Notamacropus eugenii: one gene and its partners. The protein of the gene in region 1 purifies or fractionates together with the protein of each later gene. This does not show direct contact. Links are inferred from orthologs where the notes say so. Each region holds a gene or a part of one and is shown on either strand. Other genes may lie near its edges.

Region 1 (10,865 bases):
AGTCATGGAACTAGATGCCCCTGTCCTGCTCCTGCCTGAGGGTCACTCCTGGCATCCTGGCCTGCCCTCTACCTCCAGTCCTTTCCAGTTTCCTCTCCATTAGAAACTTCCTTGAGGGCAAGGACTGTCCTTTGGTACCCCCAGCACTTAGCACAAGTGCTAAGCTTGGACAGTCATTTATCAGTTGCATCCCACTCTTCCCGATCCCATTTGGGGATTTTCTTGGCAAAGGTAACAGAGTGGTTTTCCCATTTCCTTTTCCAGCTAGTTTTATAGATGAGCAAACTGAGGCAAACAGGGTTAAGTGACTCACCCAGGGTCACACAGCTAGTAAGTGTCTGTAGATGTATTTGAACTCAGGAAGACTCGTCTTCTTGGTTCCAGGCTCAGTACTTTAGCCATCCCTAGCTGGTGTTTAATAAATGGTAACTGAATTGAATTGGACAGCAAGAGACAAATATAATAGACATTGTAGATGTAGAACTGCCAAGACTGATGGACAGGAGAGGTGGTGAAAAAAGAAAAGCAGAGTCCTCCCATACTGAAGAGGGTGATCAGGGATAGAGTGTTTTTGGGGCAGAGCCAGGTTTCCATAGGTGCAAGAAGATGGAAAAATGTGGAAGGAAGAGGTCTAAAAGGAACAGAATTTTGTTTGAGGGAACCCAATGAAAAGGAACGGGAAGTCAGCATAGAAACTCTGAAGGGGTGGGGCTCATGTGCATGGGAACTTGAGAAGCTGGATTTTACCTCAACAATCAATCAATCACTAAGTATTTATAAAGTACCTACTATGCTCCAAGCTCCGCACTAGCTGCTGTGGAGTACAAGTACAAAGGAAGAGACAATTCCCATTGGCGATTAGCTTTCAGCATAAACATAAAGTTAAACACACACACACACACACACACACGAGTTAACATGAGGCAGTTTGGGAGGTTGGGCACTAGTAGCTGAGGAGGACGGCATCAGGAAAAGTATCATGCAGAAGACAGTACTGGAGTTGAGTATTTAAAGGAAGAAAAGGTTGTTATGAGGCTATGATAAAGAGGGGCCGAAAGCACTCCAGGTGGGGAGCAGCCAGTGCAGAAGCAAAGACAGGGCGCGCTGGGAGGGAAGAACAAAGAGAAAGTCTACTTTGGTTGGATCACAACGTGTAAGAGATGAGTGATGTCTACTGAGGCTGGAAAACAGGGGGCCAGGTGGTGTAGAGCTTTAAAAGTTCAACAGAGGAGTTTCTATTTTATCCTGGAGGCAGTAGAAAGCCTCTGGACTGGATCGAAGGAGAAGACACTAACCAAGTCACAAGGAGAACGAGCTAGGAGCTTCCCAGCCACCATTTCCCAACTCGAATTTTAAGGTCACTAAAGTAAGGTCCACATCTTCCTTCTATACCTCCCCAAAAATGGTACCACAGGAGGGGCTCAATATGGACTACTGACTACGATGTGACCATGGTGTATCTACAGGACTACTGCATAAATTCTAATTATAAGACAATTCACAACTACATCAAGCACTGGAAAACCAAAACAGCTTTTCAACAGACAGATTTGTTTAGAAACGTTTCGGAGAAAACTATATTTAAAACTCATCACTTTACAAGTGGAGGATTTGGTATTGCTTTAAAAATCCTTCAAAATAAAAATATTTTTAAAAAACAAAAGATTATCAGGTTCTGCACTGTGTCAGCAATCCAAATGATCACAACAAATTGATTTTTGTTGGAGAAAGTGAAATATGGCACCTGGAGCTGCATTTAAACTTGGAAATGTAAAAACATTTCTATCTTAGTGTCAGAACAAAATCATCTTCAAACTCATTTAATAATATTCTATCTGAAAAACCTGCACACAATCTACTTAATGCACATTTTTATGAACAGGACATGTAGTAAAGGCAATTTATCATTTTAATATACAAATAAAAACACTTTACACCCTTCACTGTCAAGTCATGAGGAAACGTCAATGTTTAATAAGAATAAATAACTCCTGTATTTAAATGATTTTAGGTATTAGGTTGGATATATAACTCTAATATGCTATCTCTCAACAAAGTATGGTCTCCGAGTTCAATCACAGAATCCTCTTAAAACATTAAATGAAGCAAAAACATTGTTAAAGCATTTCTGTTTTAAAAGTCTGCCAATTACTTTTTTCATTTAAATATTTTTATAAGGAAAGAGACTGGCTTTTGTCAGAAGGCCTTTGTTTGGCAAATACAATTATTGTGGATGGCAGCTATGGTGAGACTCTAGAACAAAACATGAGTTTATTTTAGGCCTCCTTCAGTAAATTATTAGATGGTATGATCTGTAAGCACTCGCAATGGAGAAGCATAGATTTTACAGCAAATACTGAACTTGTTTTCCTTCAATAAATTGCTGCAAGTTTCTGAAAGAATGGATATGTATATACACATACATGTACAGAGTTCTATGTATACATGTACGTATATATCAAGATTAACGTGCTAAAGACTCTAAAAAGAAATCACCAATCAGCTTTCTTCCACAAGAGAGAAAACAAAATAATGTGAAGGTTGAGCTGGTTGTAACCTTAAAACACCAACCTACTGGGATATGAGCTACGGAGCCAAACGAATATGCTTCGATCATGTGCTAAAACAAAAACCATAAAATAGAACAACTTCAAAAATGCCTTCCATAATCCCTTATTAAAGGAAGAAATAACAGATTATTTCCAAGTAAATTAAAAAAAAGTAAATAACAAATTAGTTCCAAAATTCCTTTTCCCTATTCCAAAATAATAGATTTCTTATCCTGCCCTTTCCCCTCCAGGACCTTTCTTATTTAATAAGTTCAAATCAGAAGTAAAAATTATGCAAAACAGATATACCTTCGTCCTCTTTGATGCTGTACAGCTTGACAGGCTGTTTGCATGAAAATAATACCTTTCAGCTCAGGAAACTCAAGAATCTCAAGGTAATCTTGAACAACTTTCCAGTCAGGGATAACATAATGAGTCACATCACTGGACAAAAGTTTCCCATCTGGAACATAATGCAAAATTTAAGAGATGAGACAACAGTTCCAAGGCTGCTTTATTACCATTGCCATGTCGCAGAGTCCCAGCGTACAAAATAACTTACAACCTTAACTACCTTGCATGGTTTTTAAAAGACAAGACAGATCTACTTTGGTAGAGGGCCAAAGACCAGGTAAACTTAGCAGCTTCATTTTTCTAAAGGTGGGATAAATAAAAGCATAACATGGTTTATTATGGTGCCAGAGCTGCACTGGGGGAAGTTGATGGATTTTCTGAAAAAAAAAACCACATTTTTAGGATTACTTAGATATTCTGGGTTAACTCATTACTGCCTAACAACTCATATCTGAAGACTGAGTGAAAAAGGCAATTTCCAGAGAATCATGTATTTCTAAATATAATTTCAAGCCAGGAGTTCTCCTTATGTTTCAGAGAGTAATGCTAGTCATCTATAACGCAGGTGTTAATTGAATAAACTATTATGGATGGCAATGAATGATACAATTTCCATCCAGCTCATGGGTCTACCCAACTTTGACCATTCATGTTCCACCAAGCCCTGAAGTTAAGGATTCCAAACAGGACTTCCGCAACCCACCTTCCACTAGAGGAATGATAATATGGGCTGGTTACTTAACACCTCTGGGCCTCAGTCTGGAGGTTCCTTCAACTCTAAAACCTATTATTAAACTCAGCAGTATGAACTGGAGGGTGGTCTTAAAGAAGACCCTGCAGAGCACACCAAAGGCCAAAGTTTTTTCAGGAAGAACTAACAGCAAGGGTTACCATGGCTTCTGCAAGTCTCCTGCCACCATGATGGTGGGTAAAGGTATGGATCCATGCACAGCATGAGGAAGGGGGCATCCAGGTGGCCATGGGACTTTTCCATTAGAATCCACCCTTTCGCCTGCTCTGGGAGACCCTGCCCCAGTCAGGAATGGTCCCTGAGCCTTTAGAAAGCAAGGGCACTTCTCCTATGGTCTCCAGCCCAGTCATCATTGGAGCCAGGCGGTTCCTAAGGGGGCGGACAACAGGCCATCGCCTTTCATAAGACTACAGGGTGCTAAGCTCCAAAACAAGAATCATCTTTAAGAACACGAATCTGGAACCCAAAGCAGATCAATCAACTTGAGATCAATCAATCAACAAGCTCTCATTAAGCCCTCACTGCGGGCCAGACACGGGAGGAGGGGGGGAGGACGACCTTCTAATGAGGCAGCAACGTGTACCTCCAGTCCCCAGTACAAGGCCGAGGGAAAGTGGGGGGCAGGACGGCCGGGAGGGGGAAGGGAGAGAGATAGAAGATGGGAATGAGCTCTACGAGCGGGGGTCCTAATCTTTTTGCGCCTCAGACTGATGTTTCTAGATATAATACGTTACATATAATATATACGTATAAAAAATATTTAAAAGTTACCCCCAAAGCCCCACCCCGTTTACGCTGAAATACAGGGCAAACTTTCTAGAGCGCGGTAAGCAGCAGAAACCCCCCACCTCCCCCGCTGCAGGGGCGCCGACCGCAGGCGCGCAGGCGCAGTGTGGCCATGCCTGCTTCCCGCCGCCCCCCACCCCGCCTCCAGAGGACGCCTCGTTACCCACAAACCGGGGTCTACGTTCCCATCGGAAGGCAGTCGGGGGAGGCCGCAGTTCGCAGGCCCGCCCAGGCCCAGGCTCTAGCCCCGCCCCCGGGGGGGAGGCGGGGACTCACGCCCAGTGTTTACCACCTAGCCCTGGCCGGGCGTAGGCCGCAGGGCCATCCCGCGTCCCCGCCGCCACGAGGAGGCGCAGACCCCGTCTGGACGCCTCGCCTCGGCCCTCCCTGCAGGGGGCGCCACAGCTGCGGGAGGGCCGGAAACCTCGGCCGCGTTTACGCCCCCGCCCCCGCCAGCTCCCTTCCTGCTCCCTCCCCGGCTCTGACCGTTACGGCAGCGGGCGGGCTGCGGGCACAGCGGGCTGTTGCAGGGCACGCTGGGCCGCAGGTAGTGCTCCCTCACGATGCGCACAGTGCGGCCCTGGAACGTCCTCAGGTGCAGCACCTTCTCCCGCTTCTGCAGCATGGCGGCGGCAAAGGCCCGGCAGCGGGAAGAGGCGAGGCCCCGGCGTGGAGCCCGCCCCCTTCCGTCCTCTGGAGGCCGGGCCCTGAGCGCGGCGGGGCGCCTCCCCCCGGCCCGAGGCCGGAGCTGCCTCTGGGGCTGCTGCAGCTGCCGGGGCCGCCCCGCTGCGGGGCCCAACGGCCGCCCCCTCCTCGATCTCGGGGCCTCGCGGAGAAACTCCCTCCGTGCGGAGTCGGGGTCCGAGTCAGAGCTCTGTCACTGGCCGACCCCGAGGGAGCTCCGTGCCTCAGTTTACCCTCCCTGCAGTGAGAGAGAGGGTGTGTGTGTGCGCGCTCGGAGGGCAGGGCGAGAAAACTCTACCCATGCCTGAAGAAGAGATTATGGAAACAAAGGAGGGGAGGAGAAAATACATGAAAGACTCCCACTTCTTGGGAAAGCAGGTTAATTACTGTGGCTGTTAATTACCACAGCTGTTTCCTTTCCACTTGAAGTCAGGCAGCAAACATGTATTAAGCACCAGCTGTGTACCAGGCACTGCGCTAAGCCCTGGAGAAGCAAAGACAAAAACAATCCCTTCCCTAAAGGAGCCCCCATTCTAATGGGGGGGACCAGGTTAGAAGAGCTACGTACACGCAGATGTATGTGTGTGTGTGTCCGTATAGTCTGTTCTCCGTATAAACATATACATGTGTGTATATATGTACAGCCTGCCTTCTCCATACATACACATATATAGACTATCTATATACACACACTTGCGGAGATCATGAAAGACTTCTGGCAGAAGGTGATACTGTAGCAGAGACTTGGAAAGAAGCCAGGGGTGGGAGTTCAGAACGTTCCAGGCTTGGGAGACAGAGGGGATGGAGTTTCTCGTGTCTGTAACTTTGTAGCTAGGATCTGCAAAGAATACACCGTAGGACTCTAAGGGACACCTTACCTGAAACCTCCCATCACCACGAATCTAAACTGAGCTTTGTCACTAGGCAACTGGGGAAGATCCTTCCCTCATTGTGCTTGGAATAACGGAAGGGCTGCTCAGTGGTGCCCTGTTTGTGAAAAAGGGTGCATAGTAAGGTAGCATGTGTGCCTATGCACCTACTTTGTCCTAGCGCAAGATGTTTACATGTGAGGGTGATACTACATTAATTTTTAAAAAGACCTTAAGGGTTTGGAGCTTAGATGATGTGCTTGGTAGTATTTCATCATCAGTGGATTCCATTCATTTATTGATTCAACAAACATTTATTAAAATCTTACTATATGTAGAATTCTTTCAGGCATGGAGTTGATCGAAATTTCAGATAAGACAGTCTTTGGATGGCTGTGAAGACCAAATGAGATAATATACACCATATAGCAAACTTTAAAGAACTATATGAATACTAGCTATTATTATAATTCCTCTAATTTCTAGTGGCCTCCAAAATAAATGCAACTTTGTATTTATTTTGAATTCTGTTCATACTTATTCTGTAAGTAAAAAGGTACACATACATATATAATATATATATGCACACTATATATATACAACATATATGCACACACATTTTGTTTCTCTGATATACAGGGATTATTTATTTATTTGTGTTTGTATCCACAGCACTTAGTATAGTACTTTTGTAGGTGTGTAATAATTTCTTGTTGATTGATTAACAAAATCATTGGAGTTTCCTTGTACCTGAAATCACTAAGTCAAGTCAATAGGCATTTTATTAAACACTAGGCATACGAGGAGAGGCAAAAATGAATAAAAAGACAAGACAAAACCTAACAAAATAATTTGTAGTATTATATGTAGTTTTATGCTTCTTTATGTTTCATCATCTTTTTTTGGTGATAGAACATAGTACAAAATACTTTGTTCATGATTTTAGGTAAAGAGAAACGACTTCATTAATTTTAAGTACTTCTTAAGCATCTGTGCATTCATTGCACCAATAAGCACTATGCAGAGTATGTTAAAGGAAAATCCCTGCTTTCTAAGAATTTACAATCTAAAATGGAAAATATTGCCCTTTCTTTTTTTTTCTCAAAGATTGCCCAATGCTTTTCTTAAAATAAACTACCCTGTTGTCTCTGCTCCCTTAGTTTCAGACTGGTCTGTCTGTATAGTCAGCATTTCATGCCTTTATGTCTGCTTAAAGCTGAACCACAAGGTGTCTTTTGTTGTCCCAGCTTATAATCACCTTCACTTCAGTTCACTCTCAAGCAGCATTTTAGCACAAGTTCCAGTCTTGTTGTATGTTAAATATAGTTTACATATTATTAATCTACTCAAGAAACCAATTTTGAATTCTGTGATAGATCTAAGTTCTATAGTCCTGTAGAGGTTGGACATGTTTGCCACTCTGCACATTTTTAGTCTGATCCGTAGCATGGCGCCATGTCAATACATGATCTGTCTGCCCCTACAAAAGACATACTGGCTGGTCATCTTGATTCAATTTTCAGTTTTTGACTTCATTGTCAGTTAGTGTATCGTTGGACAGCGTGATGCCAGGATAGCAAATTCAGTGACAGCTTTTCACTCCATATTGCTGATGAAAATAATTGACTAGGAATGGGTTCTCCTGGTGCATGACTTGCTTCTTCTTCAGGCTTAGCATCAGTGTGCTTATTCTGCAAAGAGTTGTTAATCATTTGCATGCTTACTTGCATGTGTTTCAAGAGTGCAGCCATCAGCAAACAACAACTTCTGAATTTCTACTGATGAAGGGTGATACCATGAGTGGTGACCAGATGTGCAGTTTTTCAAAGGGTAGGCATAGAACTTATTGCTCCTGAGGGACTTAGGTTTATTTACATTAAATTTGCCATCTTCATGGGATACCAGAATTGACAATCTTTAACTCACAATTTCTTGTATCCTTGTATTATATATTTCTTGTATTCTTGATTGTAAATCAATTAATAGTAGATGGTAGAACGTTCCAGCCCTCAGTAACCCTTTGCATAGCTGAAGACTGCTAAACCATTTTGACTGGATCTCTGGGTATCCTCATTTAGCTCAGCCCTTGGCAATTCCACTCTTCTATCTTGATTCTAAGAAAGGAATCTGTGGGAGGAAAAGAGTTAGGCTTCCAAGTATGGCAGCTTCTTTTAGAATGGAGATTCTTATTATTTTTTTGAGTGTTTCATGGATCCCTTTGGTAGTCAAATAAACATATTCACCCCTTCTCAGAATAATGGTTTTAAACACATAAAATAAAATAGAGAACTATAAAGGAAACTATTGAAATACAGTTATAAGATTTTCTTTTCAATTCACATAAATCCTATGTTAAGAACCCCTGTTTGGGAACCTGCTGGGCCAAATATCACTGATGCACATTTGGAAAAACACTTTTCTCAGGTGGTACCAATGCTTGAATGGGTTATTGAAGAAGCTTGTGGAATTTTCTCGAAAATTTTTCAAAGTTGATGATATGCCCAAGCCAAAGATATTTTGAACAGGTAGCCAAGGGTATAGAGGCACAAAAGAAGGGAGGCATGAAAATATTATCTTTGTAAGAAGTCCAGCAGCAGGATGTTGTAAGTACTGATAATTAAGACCTACAGAATTCAAGTAAGGGTTCTATAGCACACACTATATGGCTGCTCTAACTTTCTTGGGCCTCAGTTACTCTAGCTAGTGTTTCAGAATTTGTTGGGTATTACCACCAACTAGTCAGTGACTAAATGCCATGTAAATAGCTAAAATAACCAAATTTATCCGAAAACAAGGTTATTTTCATTTGTGTCCCAACTCAGTAGAAAATTCGCTTAAAGAGAAATGGTTGCCAAGATGACTCTGTTGTATTAAGGGTAATTTAATTTCATATACATTAAAAGATGTTAATCCTTGATTTTCACTTTTTGTTACAGATATAATAATTCCCTTTTTGCTTTCTGAAAGCACTATGAATCCCCGTAATCCACTTTGCAGTGATTACCATAAAATGTTCTGCTTAAGAGGGTTTTTTTTTGGGGGGGGGGCGGGTATGTTAAAAGAGAAAAAGAATTATTTTCTGTGTGTAAATTGTGTATCTCAGCAGGATTTTTATTGTGCGGTTTACTTTTTTCTTTCTATAACGTAATTTCTTTCTACACCACTAAGGGATGCTATTTCATTTTTTTTAAGGTTATATTGCTAACTCTCCTACTGCCTCATGTGGAGAAGGCATTCAGGCTTGTAGGTTATTCCTATCAAAATGCTTTCAGTTGTTTTTTGTTTTTTTTTTTTCAGAAACCTTTCATATTTTGACTGGGACTTTTGACAAGAAGCTCAGAAGAATTGCTGCTTCAAAATTAATGAGAACTAAACTTCATTCATTGAATTTAAGGAAAATGGTGAGAGGGGTGGGGTCTTATGCTCTTGAAACATGTTACCATGCAGGGAAAATGCAGTTGTGTGATTAGCCACTGAAAATTATTTAAAATATGAGCATCTCTATTTTTTACTTACATTTTCTGTTCTGGTGTTATTTGACAGAATTAAGTTTTCATTTGTCAGTCTTATGACATGGTCACTATGCATAGTTAAATTTAATTTGATGATTATACTGCACAGAATTTCTTAACTCATTTTAGTTTTTTATAACTGAATATAGCTGTCTGGAAACCTGCATTCCATTTCTTATCTTATAATGACAGCTAATGCATTTAAAACCTTGTAATGGAAAGATAATGGAGAGATTAGAAATGGAAAAGATGGATATTGTGTTTTAGTCCCCGAATTCTTGTCTTTGTGGCTTACAAAGAAGTGCATGCTGTAATGAAAAGAACAGAGGACTTCCTGGAAACCTCGGAGGGCTGCAATGCAAAAAAACAGGAGGGATATTTTCACAAATTAGTTCAATTTTAATCAAATAATGTCATTCCTTTAAATAATTTTGCTGTCTCTATATGTAAAGGAAGGAGTAAATATTGAAAGTTCTGAATTTGATACATATGCAAGATTCTACCCCAACAGCTTCATGCCTAAGGAAACAGCCTGTACAATTCATAATTTGATTTAAAATAAACATTTTGAACTTCATAAAATATGTTTAAGACAATCACATTTGTTGGAGTATCTGAAATGTAAAGCAGCAGAAATAATGGCCTTAAGAAGAAATCAGAGTGCCAATGCATTCATCAGGAGACCATACCAATGTGAAGTTGGAGGTAATGATGTCCATGTAAGCCAAATTAGCTTGGTTAGTCCAGGCTGATGGAAAAGTTAAAACAAAACCTTACCTACACCAACCCACATTATGTTCATTTTAAGCAGAATTGATTTATTTTGTACCCAGAACATAGTCAGGAAGACATTGCAAAGACTCAAGCCCACCATTCTTTGTATTTAAAGCAATATGCACAGAAAAAAAATGTCGTGGGATTCACACCCCTTGTCTCACTGTTCCCACGCCCACCAAGAATGAGGGAGAATTGTCTCATTCAGAGAAAGAAACCTTTGCAGATCCACAGTGTCAGATGACGGGAGTCCCAGACATGTCTTAAAAGATATTAATTTTAAGTTTAAAATATCATCATTATAGGCTAGTCTCATTGAGAGATGGTTACTGTGATAAAATCTGAGAGAATGCTAGTATAAACCACTAGTTTTTGTGAAGAATTCAAATAGGGTCAAAGGCATGATGGAGAAACTCTTTGTAACATTTAAAAAAGACTTTTCTTTCTGTATTTTTTATTAAATCTGACATTTTAAGAGGTGCCATTAATAAATATTCTTTCTAGAATGTAAAAGAGTTTGGAGCTTACATGCTTTTTATTGAACCATGAGGTTCTAGCTCTATTTACTTTTTTGGCCTTTGAGGCC
Region 2 (10,705 bases), about 350 Mb from region 1:
GGGAACCAAATGTTTGAGTTTGTTGGTACAGGGGTCTCCAAGGGAGGAAACCTTCCTCCAAACCATAAAGATCAGTGTTTGCTTCTGCAACTTTTGGTCTCAGGACTAGCATGGGGCACTGAGAAGTGAAAGGCTTAAAGCAGGTCACACTGAGCCAGGATGAATGGAGTTAAGACTTGAATACAGGATTCTGAGGTCACTTCACTAGCCACTACACCAATCTGCCTCTCAAGATGGAAATTTAATAAGGATAAATATAAAATTTTATGCAAAAAATTCATAAGTATAGGATGGGAGAACACTACAAAGACAACAGATGGGAAGTTTTAAGGAGACTATACTCTCAGTGAGTCAACAGTAAGACATGGCAGTCAAAAAAGTTAATCTAATTTTGGAATGAACTAATAGTGAGCAGTCTAGTGTCCAAAAGGCAAGAGGTAATAATCGCATCATATTCTCTCCTGATTACATCAGTGCTGAATTATTGCCGTATTAAGTTTGAGGCTCTATATTTTTAAGGACACAAAGTTGGCAGAGAAGAGAGACTGGGAAGCTGAAAAGGCTGGAGACCATACTATCTAAGGACTGAATGACCGGCAAATAGCTGAATGAAAAGAGACTTTGAGGGAGGAGACCTATCAGCAGCCTTCAAAGGGCTGTCACTATGAGCACTTAGCACAGTGCCTGGCACATACGAGGCTCTTAATACATACTTGTTGCCTAGACTGGCACAAGACAGATTTAGATTTGTCCTATTTAGCTTCAGAGGGGAGCACCAGGTTAAAGACGCCATGTCACAGTGGCAGAAAGAAGCAGTCACAGACAGGAGAGATGGGTTTGAATTCCATCCCTGATGCCAACCTGTTTAGATTATCCGCCTTAAACTTGTTTTCTAATCTATAAAATGAGGACAATAGGACTTACACTGCTCATCTCACATGCAACCACTATCTGAGCATGGCGGTGTCATTCTCCTTACTATAGACCTGCAGAGGCAGATCTCAGGCTCAGTGGAAGGACATGCTTCCTACAACAGGAGCTGTCTTGCAATGGCACTGGCTGCTTCAGGAAGTTGTTCGCTCCCCATTAATGGAGGTCTTCAAGCACAGGATAGGTGACCTTTTGTCAAGGATGAGGTCGAAAGGGTTCCTGTTCAGATACAGGATGAAGCTGATGATTTTTGAGCTCTCTTAGAGATTTTGTAATTGTCCTCTTTCTTCTACACTGCCCTAAGACTGTTAATGACATCCAAAGGAACCATTAAATCCAAAAGGAAAACATGAGGGCTAACAAGATTTTCACTTCTGCATGACAGTACAGGTGTACACCACCTTAAGTAAATCAGATATGAAAATCCAGTCATATAAAGATAGAAAAATTAGAAGGAATTTTAAACAACTTTTTAAAAAGGCTTGGTATACGATTCCTTTACAGAAAGTTTCTCAGGGCAGTTAGGTGGCGCAGCGAGACACCAGTCCTGGAGTCAGGAAGACCTGAATCCAAATCCAGCCTCAGACACTTGACACTTACTAGCTGTGTGACCTTAGGTAAGTTCCCAATTGCCTCACCCAAAAAGAAAAAAGTTTCTCATAGTAAACTTACATCACGAGTCTATATGCTAAAATGTAATTTACATACAGCTTTCCAGAAACATGCTGTCTGTGTAAAGCAGTACAGAGTTGGAGCAGGAAAATGAACAGAACCAGGGGTCTTAGTTCTTGTTGTATACGGACCTTTCAAATAATATTTCATGTTACATTAAAGTAAGAATAAACATTGCCTATGTTGAAAAAATTTAGCACTCCATCACTTAAAAGAATGATGTTTTAATCCTACCAGTAAATTTCCTCTACATTTTCTTAGAGCAATAATGGAACATGCCAGTGATGTCCACTGTCTGTGTAGAAATCCCAAGCTTTAGTAGCTAAGGCTGGACAGCAGGAAAATGGAATTTAGCTGCAAACGCTCACCAGCTCTCCTCCTGGAAGGTTCATGGATGACAGAAGCAAGACTGAATCCAGCCTGGAATTGGTCTCCACCTTCCACCGCTTCTGTTGAACCTACAAAGTAAGAAATTCTAGAGTTACTGACTCAAATTACATGAATCCAGACTCTGGACAGTCAGTGACCCCAAATATTACAGCCTAAATTTCTGCAACAAAAACAACACAAATTACAATTTAACTAATCATGCATTACAAAATACAGGACAGTCCTCTACCAAAAATTGTGTCACAGGTTTGACTTTTTTTAAAGCACACAATCTCTACGAATTGGTTCAGCCATCCTGAAAAGTAATTTGAATCTATGCCCCAAGTCACTAAGCTGTGTGTTTGTACCATTTGATCAAGCAATGACACTTCTAAGCCTACACACCAAAGAGATCAAATAAAGAGGAAAAAAATCCATGTGTATGAAAATAATTATAGCTGTTCTCTTTGTTGCAGCAAAGAACTGGAAACAAAAAGAGTATTCAGTCATTTGGGGAATCACCAAACAGCTTACAGTACAGGAAAATAGTGGTGACTGATTGTACCGTAAGAGTCGTTGAAAGTGACAGTTTCAGAGAAAGCTAGAAAGACTTATATGAACTGAAGATGAGTGAAAGGAGCTTAAAAAATAAATTCAACTCAAAAGTCTTTTAAGAACTTTAACCAAATCAACGACTACTCACAATTCTAGAAGAAGGTTGATGGACAAAAGATGCACTTGTACATTTTAGGGCTTGGCAAAATGTGTTGACTACACTTATTTCCATAAGCAAAACAACTTTAAAAGTAACATGATGACTCATATACTTTTTTAAAGGATACAAGAAAGTTATGGTTTCACACATAATTGTCTTCTGTTCTACTTTATATACATAGAAACATTCCCTGTTTGCTTGTGAAATTCAGAATTTTTTTAAAAACAAACTTCTTGATTCAAACTTTACCTCTGTGATTCTCCCCACCACAATGTCTCCTACTTCCCCATTATACCTGAAAAAGACAAGTCAATCATTAGAAAATTTATATTTTTCAATTTTCTTTTCTATGAATTTAATAATCATCCACAAACACAAATATTTCAGAAGAGAAGCAATAAAAACAAGGATTGTATATGAAAGTGTAAACTTCTGTAACAGTTTGGGTTTTTTCAAGCATATACTAAATTTAAGATACTGGTAACAAAACTGCTCTAGGTGTCCCATTTGGAACTTATTTTCTGTGCACTTTTTAAAAATGTCCTATCAATGATCTTTTCCTTTTTTCTACATCTCTATCAATCCCCACTAACTCTCAACACCAATAGAAAGCCTCCATTTTAACAAATTAGTATAGTTAAGCAAAACAATTCAATGCACTGGCCAGATTTGAAAATGTAGGTCTCATCCTGTGCTTCTAGCCCATCACTTTCTTGACAAGAGATGTAGGGCATGCTTTGTCACCAGTTTTCTGGAGTCATGACTGTTCAATGCAGTGATCCAAGTTTGTTGTTACTCTGATTAGTTGCTGTACTTCTTTACCACCTCTCTTGTACTGCTTCATTTAACCCTTATGTGTCACTTCGCTTTTTATGCATTTCAGCCCAGCTAGACTACAAGTCACTGAAGGCTATGAGAGTATTTCACTTTCCGATACCACCAAGGATATATGAGTGTGGTTTAATCCTTGAGGAATTTACTCCCGCTTTAGAACTAACACAAATGTCAAGCCTCTCCGTAACCTAACAAGGAAAATTATGGCTAGACAAGAGAAGTGCTCGTTTGCCGTTAAAGAATATCCAGAATTACACCAAGAACCGAAGTTCTGGTCCATCCCCACTCCGTTCTCCAGAGGTTTCTGCCGGTATCACTTGCACTTAACGATGTTTAAATAAATAAATAAAGGATTTAGCCCCATTTCCCCCACCTTCAGAGTAGGCTTTACAACCTAGGCTGGGCCCCCCAAAGCCCCGCCGCGGCCACCCCCGGGGCGGAGCAGACACACCTCGTTTTCAAGGCCTTCACGCAGATCAGCTTGTTCACCCTCTCCACGGAGCCGGCCACCGAGGCTATCAGCTTCTCATCTCCCATGTAGGTCCCATGGCCCCTGCAACAAGACCCAGCCGTCACCCAAGGCCGCGGGCCCCGCCTGCTCTCCCCCTCGGCGCTACCGGGGGGCAGGGGCTGCGGAACCTTCTTATCCCCATCGTGGAGCGCCGCTCCTGGCACGCAGCTGGACGCACGGACACTTGGGAAGAGGGACGGGAGGACCCAAGGCCGTGCAGGAACAGGTGTGAGGACAGTGGGCACCTGCAAGGGCACTCAGGGAAAAGCCACGGAAGAAAGGGATACGCAAGGACACGCGGGGACAGAGACTCGTGCGGGCGGGAACACGCGGGTCTTAGGGAAGGGAAAGAGGAAGCCCGAGAAGCACGTTAAGGAAGGCTCTATGGGAGCCTGACCGGAGCCCCTGCCGCGCACCGCATGAAGCCGGTGTCCGTAGTGATCGTGTCCCCGGGCACCACCAAGTGCTTCTGCGTGTCCCGGTCCAAACTCTCAGGTAGCCGCTGGCGAGCCACAGGAAGCCGAATCTCCATCGCCATCTTGAAGCCCAGAGGGCCGCGCAAGCGCACCCGACCCTAGAGAGGCTGTTTCCGGTTCTAGAACTACTGGCAGCCAGAAAATGAAATGGGGCGGAGCAAAGTGGGGGGCGGGACGAAAAAGGGGCGGCACTTACTTAGATAGCTACCAATGGGGACCCGCTGCTGGACGGCCATCTTTTTTATTGGAATGAAGGACTATGAGTAGTTTCAAGTACTTAAATGAAGGGGAAGAGCAAATGAAGTTCCCATATTTACTACTGGCGACCCCTTCCCCGCCGTTAACATTGGCTCCAATACACTACTTTAATGGGGATAGGACTTAGACGTCGTAGGCTTAAAATTATTGCTTGGGGAAGGAAAATTTTAAATAATAGAATAACATTAATTCCTTAACATTTTATGATTCTCATTTCCCAATTGATAAATGGTCAAAGGATATGAATAGAAAGTTTTCAGAAAAAATAAAAACTATCAATAGCCACATGAAAAAATGCTCTAGACTGAATCACTATTGAATAGAAAAATTCAAATTAAAACAACGCTGAGGTACCAGCTCACACCTTTCAGACTGGCTAATATGACAAAAAGGGAAAATGACAAACGGTGGAGAAGTAGAGTTGCGAATTAGTCCAACCCTTCTGCCCAAAAGGTTATAGAACTGTTTTAAACCCTTTGGCCCAGCAATACTAGATATGTAGGAAAAAGAGATTAAAGTAAAGGGGAAAGAACTTATTTGTTCAAAAATATTTATAGTCCATCTTCTTGTGATAGCAAAGATTTGAAAATTAGAGAGGGATACCTATCAATTTTTTTTCTTTTATTTGTTTTCAGTGTTCTACAATCACTTCCATGTATCTTCTATTTTTCCCCTCCTTACCCCTCTTCCTTCTCTACCTTCTCACTCCCTCCCTGAGACAGCATACAGTTTTATATAGGTTCTACACATCCATTCCTATTAAATATATTTTCACCATAGTCATGTTGCATAGAAGAATTAAAATGAACAGGAGAAATCATAAAACAAACCAAAACATAATACAAAAGAAAATGATCTGGTACATTCTGCAATCGAATCCCACAGTTCTTTCCCTGGATGTGGAAGGCATTTTGCCTTAAGAGACCATTGGGAATTATTTAAGTCCTTGCATTGCAGTGAAGTACTGAATCTACCAGAAAGATTCCTCCCACACTGTGGTTGTTGCTGTGCACAAAGTTCTCCTGGTTCTGCTCCTTTCACTCTGCATCAGTTCATATAAGTCTTGCCCGGTCTCTCTGAAGTCTTCCTGTTCATCATTTCTTACAGCACAAGAGTATTCCATTACATTCATATACCACAATTTATTCAGCCATTCCCCAATTGATGGACATCCCCTTGATTTCCAGTTTTTGGCACCCACAAAGAGAGCTCCTATAAATATTTGTGTACATGTGGGACCCTTTCCCATTTCTATGATCTCATTGGGATAGAGTCATAGAAGTGATATTGCTGGGTCAAAGAGTATGCACATTTTTGTAGCCCTTTGAGCATAGCTCCAAATTGCTCTCCAGAATGGTTGGATCAGCTCACAGCTCCACCAACAATGAATTAGTGTTTCAACTCTCCCACATCTTCTCCAACATTTATCATCTTCCTGTTTTGTCATGTTAACCAATCTGATAGGTGTGATGTGGTACCTCAGAGTTGTTTTGATTTGCATTTCTCTAATCAATAGTGATTTAGAGTGTTTTTTCATATGAGTATAGATAGTTTTAATTTCTTCCTCTGAAAACTGCCTGTTCATATCCTTTGACCATTCATCAATTGGGGAATGACTTTTATTCTTGTACATTTGGCTCAATTCTTTATGTAATTTAGAAATGAGGCCTTTATCACAGACACTAGTTGCAAAAGGTCTTTCCCAGTTTTCTGTTTCCCTCCTAATCTTGATTGCCTTGGGTTTGGTTGTACAAAAACTTTTCAGTTTAATGTAATCAAAATTATCTATTTTGCACTTCATAATGCTTTGTATCTCTTGTTTAGTCAAAAATTTTTCCCTTCTCCATAAATCTGATACAGTATTCCTTGTTCCACTAATTTGTTTATAGTATCAATCTTTATATCTAGATCATATACCTATTTGAACTTTATCCTTGTGTATGGTGTCAGGCATTGGTCTATGGTCTATGTCTAGTTTCTGCCACACTATAGGATACCCATCAATTGAGGAATGGCTGAACAAATTGTGGTACATGATTGTGATGGAATATTATTGTATGATAAGCAGGATGGTTTCAGGAAAATCTGGGAAGACTTCTATGAACTGATGCAAAGTGAAGTGAACAGAACCAGGAGAACAGTATATACAGTGACAGAAATATTGTGTTAACAGGACTTTACTGAGTCAGTCTCTAACCTGAGAAGGATGAAATAGCAGGCCAGAGACAAAGTGCCAGTAATCAGGTAGCTATTTAATTAATTAGTTTCACTATAAGGAACAGATTTGCAAATTGGGAATTCCCCTAATCAGAATTCCACCTTGCTTAAGTGAAGACAGAGATTATATACATAATTCACAATGGGAAGGGAGGGGGGAAGATGGATTACAAACAATAAACAATTCTGGAGTTCTGCGGGAGCAATATTACTTGAGTCTTTAGGAGGTCATTACTTGGTGGATCACAGGACCAGAATTCTGTAACCAGAACAGGCTCTATAATTTTTGATTAGCCTCATTTCAGGTGTGTAGGCACAAGGATGTTGGTAACTGTGAGCATTGTCAAAGTTTGACTGCATTATGAGTCTGATTCACTAGCTGGAGAGGCAACTCTTGAGAAAATTAAATTATTAGTATATTCATTCCACATTATCATGTCCATTAATATGAAAATTCTGATTCCTTTCTCAATTGTAAGAATGGTTAACTGTGAAAGACTTAGTACTCTGATCAAGAAAATGATACAAGACAACTCCAAAAGACCCATCGTGAAAAATGTTGTCCACTTTCAGAGAGAGCTGACAGACTCCCTCCTCTTGACAAAGGATTCAGAAGTCAAGTAACTGGCTGGGAAAATGCCCAAAAAAGGGGAAAAAATAAGACCATAGAAGGTTACTTTCTTGGAGAACAGGTGTCTCCTTCCATCCTTTCAGATGAGGAAGAACAAGGCATACTGTCAGAGGAAGTCAAGGCCTCTGCCTCCAGTACCTCCAAAATGAATATGAAATGGGCTCAGGCCATACAAGAGCTTGAAAAGCATGTCAGCAGCCTGCTAAAGGAGAACCAAAAAAAATTGCTGAGGAAAATAACACCCTTAAAAAGAGGATAACTCAATTGAAAAAAGAGGTCCAAAAAGCCAATGAGGAGAAGGAGGCTTTAAAAAGCAGAATTAGCCAAATGGAAAAGAAGGTTCAAAAGATCACTAAACAAAATAATTCTTTAAAAGAGAGAATCAAATTCATACAGCTGACAGACTCTACTGGCAGTTTGAAGCAAATTTTTCTTAATTTATTTTTCTTGTTTTGTGTGTGCATTTATTCTTTTGCAACATGACTAATATGGAAATATGTCTTCACAACTTCACACATATACGCAATATCATATTTCTTGCCTTCTCAAGCAGTGGGGGAGGAGGAGAGAGAAGGAGAGAATTTGGAACTCAAAATTTTTTTTAAAGTATGTTAAAAATTTTTACATGTTATTGGGAAATATTTAATGATATAAATAAAATATATTTTAAAATAAATGAAACATTTTATGTCTCTTTAGTTTTCAAAGTGCTTTCGTAATCTCTTCTAAGAGACAGTGTGGTACTGGGGAAAGAACTTTGCATTTGAAGTCAGAGGATATGGATGCATATATAGAGTCTGTCGCACTGCCTCAGTCACTAATACGTGACTGAGCAAGCCAGTTAACCTTAAGTAAAACAGAATGTTGGACTGGATGACCATTTTAGGATCCTTCTAACTAAAATATGATTTTATTTTTCTATATCTTGTTATCCTTATGATAGGACTGGTAGTGATTTTAAAATCATATAATCAGAATCTCATAATCTCAAAGGTTGAAGAGATCTGGGAAGGTGTAGGATGGGAATAGGGGGACGTTAAGTCCAACCCAAACGTGGCCAAAAAGACAGGGATCCCTCTGACAATATACCCATGTTGCCACTCAGCCCTTCCTTGAAGACTTCCCACGAGGAAAACCTTACTACCTCTTAATACCATGTTCCACTGTTAAATTGTTCTAACTGTTAGAAAGTTTTTCCTTACATGAAGTCCTCAGAGCTGGGCTGACCACTTCTCCCCTGAGGGTTTTCAGGGTAGTCCTAATGCTAGGGGGTTTCTAGTACTATAGTTTCTGTGTGCCCACCTGTGTGATAATAATTAGCCAGTTGCCACCATTAGTTTTTAGAAAAAGGGATTTACTGAAAGGTAAAGAATAGTTGGTACTAAACATTCTACTTTCCCCACTCCTAAAGAAACTAGGGATACTCACTCCTTGTTTATAAACGTTACCCCTATGGGGAGAGCTGACAAATTTAAAGGCAATGGGCTTAAATAATGGCAGTGAAGCAAAGTATAGACAGAGAACACTTGTGGCAAAAGGGTACCTCCCCACTCTTGGCCCTGAAAGTCCTTTTCTCCCTCCATGAAGTCCTCATGAAGTTCTCCCTGGATGTTGCTCTTTCTTTTTCTCATCTTAGAGAATCAGTGCATCGCTATAATTCATAGTCAGCATCCCTCTCTGTTACAAAGGGTCACAATCCCTAAAACTTCTCCTCTGTTCTAGTGACTGTTTTTCCAGACCTATCTGCAGATACCTACCTCTTTGGCCTTGGACCACTATTGCTCCAGGGCCTACTACTGCCTCTGGGGCAGCTAGGTGGTACAGTGGATAGAGCACCAGTGCAGGAGTCAGGAGGACCTGAGTTCAAATCTCACCTCAGACACTTGACACTCACTGGTTGTGTGACCTTGGGCAAGTCACTTAACCCCAATTGCCTCATTCTAGGTCATCTCTAGTCATCCTGATGAATATCTGATCACTGGATTCAGATGGCTCTGGAGGAGAAGTGAGGCTGTTGACCTGCACAGCCCTCCCTCACTCAAAAACAAAAGTCAAGTGAAAGTCATGTCATTATTTCTCTGATGGCATGGTCTTCTTTGGCAATGAAGGACGAACATACACACTACTACCTCTAAAACTTCTAGATCTCCTATGCTCACAAGGTCATTTCCTGAACATCTGAGTTTGCCTTAGATGAGAAAAGAGCAAAAATAGAGGTGCCATATTTTCACAAGCACCATAGCAGAATAAGAGAAAGGACATCCAACCTCCCCCCAGCTGGGTTCTTGGGGGCAATTCAAAATGGACCTCCCTCCTAGAGACTGCAAAGGAAAGAGAATGAATGATGAGTGGATTGTCCCTTTCGTATTCACATTCAGTTCTGCAGCTGATTAGAAAACTTTCCATCATCAAACCATACCAGCAGAGCCTTGGTCAGGCATGGCTGGAGAACTACTTTCCCTGTTTCCACACAAACATGACCCCTTGGACTGAAACTAGGTGGGGAATGTGTGTGTATACTGAAAGGTCTGGCCCTCTTAGATCAATCTGATCATTCTGTACTTGAAAAAAGTAGTCATGTAGCCCCAAAGTCTACTTAAACCTGAATATCTCTCGTTCCTTTATTGGATATACATAAGACATAAACCTCAAGATTTTTGTCGCCCTAATTTCCCTCCTCTGAGCAATAATAGCTAGCATTTATATTTCCTTTAAGAGTTTCAAAGCATTTTACTTGGGTTATTTCATTTGATCCTCACAACAACCCTGTGAGGTAAATGCTATTATTACCCCCACTTTACAGAGGAGGAAACTGGGGCTGAGGGAAGTGAAGTGACTTGTTCAGAGTCACTCAGGTCTTCCTGAATCCAGTTCAATAATATTTATCTTAATAAAGTCCTTCTAAAAATGTGGTAGCCATAACTAAACATAAACTTCATATGGTCTGATCAGGACAAAGTAAAATTAGATTATTACATCCCTAAACTTAGATATTATGCGTTTTCTAATGCAACCTAAGATTGCATTAGCCATGTTACATTATCGATTCATATTGAGCTTTCAGTCCATTAAAACCCCCAGATCTTTTTCAA
Region 3 (10,701 bases), on another chromosome or scaffold:
AGAGAATTCTCAGTTATCTTTCATCCTCACCTTTCTGGCAGATTTGCAATTTAGGCTGAGGAAGACCCCTACTACATGTAAATTTCAGGGCGGCAAACATGCGCAGAGAAAAATAATTTTTGCATCAGGGTTTCAATCTCCCATTCTAATCACAAAATGGCCTACTTCATGAAAATTCCTTACCAAAGAACAAATGCCTATTTATTGTTGTCACAGTAACAGCATGGAAGGAATGAACTTGGCCTATGCTACTTGAGCGGTGTGCTCATTTAGGGAGATATTTCTGGTAGCCGCTTCTACTCAACACTTAACTTATCAACACTGCCTTGCCTAGCTGAGGAGCTGAAACAAATGAGGAAAAAGAAGAGCATCAGAATGAAGCTAATTAAATAAGTCTTAGTTCTAAATACACTATCTGTATATCTGAGTGAAATCACAGGGTAGAGGTGACACTGACTTCACAACACAGTTCTTTCAGATAATGGAAGAGGGGACAAGGTAAGGGAACCAGCATTTATTATAGATCTACTATATAGTAGGCAAAATGTTGTCTGTCTTTCCTTCTGGAAGAGAACCATGGCATCAGAAAGGTGATGTCATGACTCGCAAGTGAATTAGATTTAATGGAGGAAGGGCTGTGCAAAGTCACCAGTCTCATTTTCTCCTCCTGAAGCATCTGAGCCCAGTGGCAAGATACTATCAGGAACTGGAGATGGCCGTGGATGCAGTGGGAGACCTTTATGCATCTAATTTCTCCATAATGCTAAGGTCCGTAACAGGTCTCAGTTTGACTGAGGCAACCCCATTCAGTGATTAAGGCTAGGTAAGAAATGACACAAAGAATGGCCTCTTTTACTTAGTTCAAAAAAAAAAAAAAAAACCAAACCCAAACCAAAAACCCTAACCTAGCAGAGAGAGTGTCGTGGTTTCTGGCTAAAACAGAAACAAATTGATATTTACCTTTACTCTGAGTCAATCAGGGCCCAGACAATGACCACCAGGTAGGGTATGGGCTGGGACTTACTGTTGGCCAACCAATGAGAGCCAAAGTAAATTGGGTTTAAGGCACCGTCCTTAACAAGAAACTGAGCCAGTAAACCCCAAGATAACCTGCCAGGCTTCAGGGATCAAAATTTAGATTTCTTTGAGTAGAGTACCTGCTATGTAGACAGAAGGAGAGGAAGGAAGGAGCTGAGTTACCCCACTGGATCTGGCTAGACGGGTCCCCAGTGGGACACAATGTACTACTCTGGCAATGTGCTAAACGCTTCACAGATGTCTAATTTCATCTCATGATATGACTTCACTTAACATAAAAATAACAGACTCAGTGTTACCTGTACGTTTGGTCTGTTTCTTTTGGTTGCTCCTTCGAATGCCAAATAAGACAGAGAAGCTGGTTCACTTCCTCCAACATCAACCTTGAACAAGTCACCAGATTTAGCAGTCACAATGCCTATCACATGGTCTCCTTTAACCGGGACATACTGCAAGAGAAAAGTCACAAAAGCACAAGCATACAGACTTCTGAAAATTGAAAAAGACATTTCACCAGCAAACCCTGCCAACAGACTTTTACATTTCTGCTTTTAAAAGGCTGTATAATATTTTAACATTCAAGTATCAATATTTATAAATATGTTAATCTAAATATAGGCAATGCTCAAGTACAGGCCACATCCCTAAATGAGACCTCTTTGAAAGGAAAAATCTAAATATATATATATATATATATATATATATATATATATATATATATATATATATATATATATATATATGTATGTATGTATATCATATGCTGAAAAATATAACCTGTTTGAGGGCAGACACTGTTTTGTAGAGGTTTTTGACCTTTGGATATACAGGCAAACTTAGGAGACAAGTCATGGACAACAACTGCACAGAACAGACGGGCAGGGACAGGGTGCTGTCTTCAGAGAGAACGTCTGTACCAATGAGATCACTCAGCACTCAGTCCAGTGCCTTGCACACAGTAAACAAACGACTATTTGCTGAATTATAAATTCCAAATATACAGAAAAGGTACAAATCAAAATAAGATAATCCCAGTGATAAATTTCTTCTCAGTAATTAAGTTTAGCTTCAAACTATCTCAAATTGAGCTATTTATCCATTAATTTTATCCAGATAACATTTATCCACTGAGTTATACATTTCTCCATATAAATATCCAGTTATGTTTATTTTTCTGGCATTTTAGAAAAATATTTTCAGAGTAGAAATTTGGGCTACTTGGCTAACACTGTCCATATACCATTCCACTCCACACAGTGCATAGTAAGCACTTACCAAGTGCAATTCACCAAACACTGACCTACCACGTAGGCACTGAGAGAGATACAAAGGACAGATAAAACCCATCTCTGTCCTCATGGAGTTTACCCTAGAAGAGTATCACTCATGGCACCTCTCTCCTTGACTACTGTAAACCCCTAACAGGTCATCTTGCTTCTTGTGTCCCCCATCAGCAATCCATTCTGAATATTCTCCTCCTTCTCAAATGTTTACCTCTGTCTCTCCTTTACAGCCATCATTCCATAATCTTATTGGAATCTATTACTATGCTTCATCTATGAACACATTATTTGTCCTTTCCCACAGTGAGCACAAGAATTTTGTGGCTTTTATCTCTTTATTTTTTGAACCTACCATAATGGCTTGTATATAGTAAGCATTTAAATACTTGAAGTGAATTGTATTTGTTTAAGTTATAAGCAAAATGCTACCTCATGGAGAGAGGAGACAATTAACAATTGGGTGATGGAGGTGCTGCAGAAAATCCCTTAGTAAGTATTTGTGACATACACTGTGCTGGGCACGAGATACTGAGACAAAAATTAAATAACCCCTGACTTCAAGGAACATATAATAGATTAAGAAAGACTGTATGCAGGAAGTAGCAGTAAACCCAACTTTCAGGGGTGGGGGAGGTGATGGGTAAAGGTCACATTTCAGGCCCTGACAAAGGAGGGACAGTGGAGAACATGTGGTTGTCGTTTATCCTCTCTTTTGGACATCAGCAAGGTGATGCCGTGACTTGCAAGTGAACTGGCTTTAAGTGAGGGAGGGCTGAGCGAAGTCACCAGCTTCACCAGGATATAGATGAGGAAGACTGGAGGTGGCCCTGGATGCAGAGGGATACCTTGGCCTTTTTAAGCTAAGGTCTTTAGTAGGTCTCAGTTTGACTGAGACAATGCCCCCAACCAGTGATTAAGGCCAGGTAAAAAATGGCCCCTTTCTCCTAATTAAAAAAAACAAAACCCAATCTGGGAGGGAAACACCCTCAGAGTTTCTGGCCCAAACAGAAACAATTACAATTTATGTTGACTCTGGGCCACCCAGGTCAAAAAGATGACCACTAAGTGGGGCTTGGGACGGACCCTATTGTTGGTCAATCATGGTCTTTCAGAAAGGAATCCAGCCAGTAAACCCCAAGGTATCTTGCTAGGTTTGTCATCAAAATTTACATTCTTTGGGGCAGAGCATCTGCAGGTAAGGATGTGACACCCCATGTGCATGGAGGAGCTGCACCACCCAAATGGAACTGGCCAGTTGGGTGCCCAGCAGGGCTGCTCAGACTACTCGGAGGTTGTTCTGGAAGAGGACTATGAATGACGTCAGGAAGATGGTGCCATGGCTTGTTCGTGAATTGGATGTAGGCGAGGGAGGAATGTGCCAAGTCACCAGCCTCACTCTCTCCTCCGGGGCCTGAGTCTAATGGCACAATACGGACTGGAAGGGCCCTCAAGAGAATGTGTGTGAGCAATTATTACCTGAACAGCAGGGCGGCATCAAACTTTAGAACGACTCTTAACTGCTGGCCTAGGAAATCTGAATTTTACTCAGTAATCCACAGACGCTAAGGTTTTAGGTGGAGAAGTCACAGGACTAGACATGCACATTTGCCCCTTCCAGTACGCCCCAGCCAGGCTCGGGGCAGTGACTGGCAGAGAGGCCTTCGGGAGGGCAGCGTTCACCCCTGGCTGGTGCGGAGGCACGTGCCAGGGAAGGGGAAGCGCAGCCGGAGCCCGGAGAGCAGAGCAAGGGGAAGACGTCTAAGAGCAGGGGCGCCGGCCAAGGGAAATGGGGAGGCTGAGGCCGAGCCCCAAGATTAAAGCCGGGCTCTGCTTGTGCTAGGGGAGCCCTCCGGGGAGGAGCGAGTTCGCCTCTCCCATGTACCGGCCAGGAGGCCGGGATCCCGCTTGGGGCCGTCTCCGCGTGTTCGAGGCCGGGGCCGGGCCGGGCCTCCTCCACTTACCCGTTTCTGCTGGGAGTCCACCCAGTACACGCCGCCGCCCCCTCCGCCGCCTCCGCCGGGCTCCCTGTGGCGGAGCCGCCCGCACTTGGTGACCAGCAGGCGGTCTCCGCAGCGCCGCAGGCCCGGGCCGCACACCACGCGGGCGCGGGCCCGCACGACCGACCCCAAGCGCAGCGTCTGCTCCACGGAGCCCTCCGTGCCCGGCCCCGCCGACTCGGGCAGCAGCAGCTCCTCCCCGGGCAGGACCACCTGCCCCAGCACGGTCCGCGCCACCCGCGGCCCCGAGCCGGGGATCGGCGGGGCGGCCATCGAGCAGCCGCTGCCGCTGCGGGGCCTTCCACAGCGACCCCTGCAGGACCCGACGTCTCTAGCCCCGGAGCAGAGCAACCCCACATCCGCCACAGGTGGCCCCGCCCCTTCCGCTCAGGGTACACGTCACGTGAGGAGGAGCGGCCTGGCACAGCTCTTCACCGCCCCGCCTTTACGCCGAGGCGCCACACCCCGCGGGAAGGAGGAACGGCTCCGGCCCCGCCCCCCCACTGTGGTTCCATTCCACGTGACTAGAGAACTGTTCCTTCCCACAAGGCCCATGCGCCAGGGCTCCGCCCCTACCTTACCTGGACCCTGGAGCCCTCCCAGACCCCGCCCCTTGCACAGTAGTTCCAGCCCACGTGAGTGAAGGCACCCGCCCCTAAGGCCCCACCTCTTTCTGCTGTGTCCATTCCACGTGATAAAGAACTGCTGCCCCCCCCCCCCCCCCCCCCGCCATGGCCCACCCTTCCACTCCGACTTAGCTCCTCCCACCCTCGGGACAGAAGAGGAGGAGCAACCTTCCGCCTTCGTGGTGGCACTGTCCTGCATGAACTAAGGAGCAGTCCGGGACTTTCCCCCAGAAGCCCTTCTCTACTCCGGACAGTGGAGGGGGCGGAGCACCGAACCTCCACGCCCAGTCCTAGCCCCACCCACTCCAGACCCGCCTCTTCCCCTGTGGTTCCATTCTGGCCCCGCCCCTCTCAACTGTACACCGGACTGCTCCTAGACCCCGCCCCCTTTCTCCCTGGCCCCGCCTCCCTGGGCAGCTCCCGCCTACCCAAGTCCAAGACCAGATTGTCATCCTCTCAGTGCTGGATCCCGAGCTTTTACCCCGATTACCCCGGTACCCCACGTCCCTCCTCTCTAAGTAGGACTTTTCTCAGAGTTCTCAAGGGTTTTTTTATGGGGTCATAGGACTTATCTTAAATGGGCCTTCTGAGATCATCTAATGACTAGATTATATGTCTACTCCAACTCTCATTTTATCTCATTTTGTTTCATTTTGTTTTACATCAAGGTCAATTCTGAATATAATTCTTCTCTTTCTCTACCTTTGCTTCTTTCCAAGTGAGACTTCCTATCCACAAAGGGGAAAAAAGTCCCATGCAACAGTTCATTCCTACAGTTTCCCATCTTTCCAACTAAAACATTTTAGTATTTTACAGAAGGGACTGAGGCCCAGAAAGGGAAAGTGATTTGCCTCAATGGCACTCCAATAATAAATAGCTCAGTTATGATGCACACCCCGAGTTTCTAATTCCAAATCCTAGGTTCTTGCCTCTCTACTACTGTGTCTCATCAGCAAAAAGCTGTCTCCTGAAAGGAAAACTCATTAGATTGGACTATGAAATAATTTATCTATAAATTGCTAGTTTTTTAGTCAAGGATTATACAGTAATAGTACTGTATTCTCAGAAACCCAGAATCCTAGACCTTTTGAAAAAGTCCCACCTTTTGAGACATACAACCACACACACACACATACACACTTCACAGACGATACAGCAAAACAAGGCATCAGAAAGTGAGAAAGTTTAATTTTTTTTAATTATTCATACCCTTAAGCAAAGCTAGCAAGTGTGTAAGGCCACATTTGAACTCACATTCCGGCCTAAAAAAACCCCCACATATTTCATTTATAGACACAAATTATTCAAATTTAATAAAATTAAAAAGCACAAACAAAATAAAAAATGGCTAAAATTAGGAGAAAAGATGGATTGGGGGAAATTTTATATAGTTTTTTAAAATCAATTTCCCTTGCTCTATCAATCATCTGTAACATGTTTTTAGAGCTGCTTGGAGTAGTGAGAGTAAGTGACTTGTCCATGATCACACAGGCTGGCTCATAACTAATTAACCTTTTGTATTTTTCAGCTAGGTAGCCCAAGGGATAGAGGGGTAGACTCAGAATCAGCAAAATCCTGAATTTAAATTGTGCCTCAGACCCTCCCTAGCTGTGTGCCCATGGGCAATCTTTCTCAAAATTCCTCTTTGTAAATGGGGAAGTGTTTTGCCAACCTTAAAGCACTATGTGCATCCTAGTACTTAACCATTTCTGGCTCTAAGGCCAGCTTTCCGATGCTTCTCCTGCCTGAAACATCTCTGAGCTGGACTTCCAAAATTCCCAGAGAATTCACTCCTGAAAAAGATCTGTAGCTAAAGGAAAGGAAGAGTTTTCAGGAATCCTCTTAGGCTACTTCTGCATCCCCATCGGGTGATGACAGATGAGGGTGGATGGGGCATTTCCTAAAGAGAATACAAAATGCAGTCGCTTCCTAGAAGCAGGCTGCTCATCTCTGTATCACCCATGGCACTGATGGGTCCTAGCGGCTGCACGGTCACGGTTGGGGTCAGGGTCAGATCCCTTCCTTTCCCTCAGCCTGGGTTTGGAATTCCTAGGGCTCCAGGTTGGGAAAGGAACACAGATGGAAGGAGAGAGAGAGAGAGAGAGACAGAGAGAGACAGAGACAGAGAGAGACAGAGACAGAGAGAGACAGAGACAGAGAGACAGAGACAGAGAGACAGAGAGAGACAGAGACAGAGAGAGAGAGAGAAAGAGAGAGACAGAGAGACAGAGAGAGACAGGGAGAGACAAAGACAGAGACAGAGAGAGCAGGGAAAGTGGAAGCGTGCCAGGGAGAAAAAGGGAAGAGAGACGCGGGTAGAAAAAGGCTGGAAGGGAGGGGGAGAGAAAGTAAGAGAAGAAATAGGAGGGGAGGAGAGAGGAAGGGGCGGGCGAGACGTGGGCGGAATTGCGCCGCCCCTCCCTCCGTGGGCAGACCCTTCCCGGGGAGGGCAGAGAGGGGCCGAAGGGGCGAGTCCCGCGGGCGCAGCCTCACTCGTCCTCTCCCCGCGCCCGGACGTAGGCTCGGGAGGCGAGGGTCCGGCGGCGGGAGCGGAGCCGAGCCGGGGCGCTGCGCCATGGGCCTCCTCCTCCGCCTTCTGCGCCCGGGGCTGGCGTCGGTGAGTTGCGGGGCCCGGGGCCGCGGGAGGCCGGACGCTGCGCCTCGCGGGGTGGGGGGGCGCCCTCCGACCCGGCCGCGCGTGCCTCGGTCACGGCCATGGCCCCGGCCCCCGCCCCGGGAGCCTGGGTGGTGCTGGTGCCTTCCGCGCCCATCACACACGCACACGCGGCACACACGCGGGCGCTCACATGCGCGTCCCTGGCTACAGTCTCCCCTTCAGGGCGCTCACGGTAGTTCTAGGGGTCTCCGGCCCTCGGGCGGCGGCGGCCTCGTGGCCGTGTGGCCGGCCCGCCTTCCCTTCCTCGGACTCAGTTTATCTGTGGTATGGACGAGGCTGGAGGTGACCCCCCAGGGTCTCAGGTCGCTGGTGGGAGGAGCCGGTGATCGCCCCCTTGCTTTTTCAGGGTGGTGTCCCGAGTCTTAACGCCGTTACAAATGTGAGGGATCAAATTTTAGAGGAAGCTGGGTCTCAGAGAAATGTCTGCCCACAGATGGTAAAGGTTACAATTCAGTTAAATTGTTTGTTTGTTTACAGGGGGCGGGGCTTAAGCGGTCTTGTTGCGCCAGCTTTGCTCCGGGAGCTTTGTAAATATCTCATCGGATTGTCACCGCAGCCTTTTGAGCTCGTTCTGTTACAGCCACTCTGTAACAATGTAGCAGCAGCTACTTCCACAGATGGTGAAATGACCTGCCTAAGGTTACACAGTTAAGTGTCTGAGGTCACCTTGGAACTCGTGTCCCTGCTTAACTCCAGACCACCTTTTATTGTGCATAGTTATGGAGAGGCAGTCTGGTGTAGGGAGCAGAGAGCTGAGTAAGGGGGCAGGAAGGCTTAGGCTCGAGCCTGATCCTGAGACCTTGGGGAAGTGCCCCCAGATAAGGTTTTAAGATCAAAAATAGCAAATCAAGTGGCAGTTTGCATCGGTAAGAGGGTATTTCCTCGTGGGCATTTCCCTTTACCAGTTGTCAGAATTCCCATGCCAAGTCCAGGACAGTAAACCTAGTCCTAGATTAAGAAGTTAAAATGGCAAGTAGAACATGATGTTGTTGGGTTATTTTTTTCAGTGACCTTATTTAGGATTTTCTTGACAAAGATAACTGGGGTGGTTTACCATTTCTTTCTCCAGCTCATTTTACAGAGGAAGAAATGAAGGCAGACAGTGACTGACCCAGGATCATACAGCTAGTAATTGTCTGAAGTCATATTTGAACTTCCTGACTCCAGGCTGTAACAGCAAGCATTTTGGCACCCAGGAGGTCTTAGATCTGCTTTTCTAAAAGGAAAGCAACTTGAAGAAGGAGTAAACAATCTTTAATTACATATACCAACAGACAGAGCTTCTAACTGACCGTAGGCAATACGTACATGTTACCAGAGAGAGAGAGAGAAGCACAGACATCCGGGTTTTCAAAGTGGGGGGCACAAGAACCTTCTTCCAAAAACTAAGCCCCAAAGTAGAACCTCACCTCAGAGTATATACATATGTGTGTATGTGTATATATACGCTTTTCCAATATATCTCCTGATCCAGTGCATCCTTTGCAATCATCAAGAGGTGTGGGTCTTCATACAGATTCAGTCACCCTGAATAGTCCCACCAAAGGCCTCTCAACTGCCGGGGAAGAGTTTGAACTCCCATTACACATGCCCCTTTATCCACTTCACCACCTGGCTTTAGTAATGGCAATATAATTGGTGGTATAATCACCTCAAACTTAACCCTGTTCTGTTTAATTCATTAATAAAATCATAATTTGATAAAATCTGATATTGATCAAATCACAGTGAAAAGAATAAATGCTGATTAAGTTGACCTTGACTTGGATACCTAGGAAAATTCTAGACTGGATTATTGAAGAGATTGTTGTTGGACATCCAGAAAGGGAAATGGTGACAGTGGACTATAACCTCTATTCCTGGAAGTTTAGACCCTCTTCAAGCAGTCTAAGATCACATTCGCTTTGTTGGCTGCCACATCCCAGTGCTGATTCATTTTGAGCTTATAGTGCACTAGCACCCCCGGATCTCTTTCAGATAATTTTACTTGTGAACTTGAATTTTTGTACCCAAATGTACAATAAATCTTGCATTTATTTCTGTTGGATTTTAGTATATTAGATTAAGGCCAGTGCTCTCCCCATCAAGATCTTTTGGGAACCTGACTCATTTTGTTTGTTAACTGTTAACTAGCTTTGTGTCATCTGCAAATAAAAATATGAAAACAGCACAGGGCCAAGCATAGATTCCTGGGGGACTCTTTCTAGATGTCCGCCAACCATCTCTTTGATAATTTTCCCAAGAAACAAAGTTAAATTCACTGGCTTATAGTTTGCTGACTCTAGTCTTTTAATTTTTTTAAAAATGTAGACATTTCTCTCTAGTATTGTGTTCTCTCTCCTTTTTCCCTCCATGATCTTTCAAATATTGTTCACTTAGCAATCCTATCTATCTACCACTTCTTTTAGTGCAGGAAAATATAGTTCGTCTGGGCCAAGTGATAAAAATATGTCGAGTGACTATGCTCTTCACTTACTGTATCCTGGGTTTGAAATCCCTGTTAATCATTTTTGTTCTGTCGTTTTCAGTGCAAAGGTCCATTCTCCTTGGCCAGGAAAACAACTGAAATAAGGCTTGAGTAGTTATGCCTTCTCTTCCTTCTGTCTTCAGTAACCTTTTTTCCATTTGCCCTCCAAGCAAAAGTTTATCCCTTCTGTGATTCCCTGTTTTATCCATGTATAACTAAAACACAAAAACTCAGCGTTGTCCTCTGCTTCCCGTAACTGCTTCCTTCAGTTCACTCTGAGCATTCGAACTCTTGACTTTTTTTCCCTAGAACTGCGTCACCCTCTTATTTGTTTTCTTTAACCTACTCTCGCCCTCATGTTCTGTACATTTCTTTTTAAGATCAAAGTTGTTTGGTGAGTTCCCTGAGCCTCCAGATCATTCTCTTCAGATAAATCTGGGATTTTTTTTCTCCTTGCTGGAATGATCTCCCTTTGTATTTTCAGAAGTTCTTTGTTGAGATTCTCCTATTTCTCTCTTCTTTTGGTCCCTTTCCCTTTTTGAAATCTCGAGGATTACCCTCTGGGGGCCTTTAAAATGTATTCTTTCTAGCATCATCATATTATGCATAGTCA

Evidence for each region.
Region 2: the proteins of DIS3L (region 1) and EXOSC2 purify together in Homo sapiens (affinity purification with mass spectrometry; 5 studies listed by BioGRID and IntAct, with this or other methods). This does not show direct contact. The link is inferred for Notamacropus eugenii from reciprocal best matches to the Homo sapiens genes DIS3L and EXOSC2.
Region 3: the proteins of DIS3L (region 1) and EXOSC3 purify together in Homo sapiens (affinity purification with mass spectrometry; 6 studies listed by BioGRID and IntAct, counting the BioPlex papers as one, with this or other methods). This does not show direct contact. The link is inferred for Notamacropus eugenii from reciprocal best matches to the Homo sapiens genes DIS3L and EXOSC3.

What each region holds. Positions count from the first base shown.
Region 1 is NC_092872.1:128,843,627-128,854,491, reverse strand, and holds the start of DIS3L (DIS3-like exonuclease 1), read right to left. Parts: upstream 5,221-10,865; 5' UTR 5,066-5,220; coding exon 4,927-5,065; intron 4,668-4,926; exon of another isoform or gene 4,604-4,667; intron 3,013-4,603; coding exon 2,859-3,012; intron 1-2,858. UniProt on the Homo sapiens protein: Catalytic component of the RNA exosome complex which has 3'->5' exoribonuclease activity and participates in a multitude of cellular RNA processing and degradation events.
Region 2 is NC_092872.1:482,370,575-482,381,279, reverse strand, and holds the start of EXOSC2 (exosome complex component RRP4), read right to left. Parts: upstream 4,660-10,705; 5' UTR 4,570-4,659; coding exon 4,448-4,569; intron 4,074-4,447; coding exon 3,972-4,073; intron 2,982-3,971; coding exon 2,936-2,981; intron 2,061-2,935; coding exon 1,971-2,060; intron 1-1,970. UniProt on the Homo sapiens protein: Non-catalytic component of the RNA exosome complex which has 3'->5' exoribonuclease activity and participates in a multitude of cellular RNA processing and degradation events.
Region 3 is NC_092874.1:316,498,088-316,508,788, reverse strand, and holds the start of EXOSC3 (exosome complex component RRP40), read right to left. Parts: upstream 4,660-10,701; 5' UTR 4,592-4,659; coding exon 4,283-4,591; intron 1,488-4,282; coding exon 1,338-1,487; intron 1-1,337. Other genes in the region: uncharacterized protein, read left to right, coding at 7,520-7,561. UniProt on the Homo sapiens protein: Non-catalytic component of the RNA exosome complex which has 3'->5' exoribonuclease activity and participates in a multitude of cellular RNA processing and degradation events.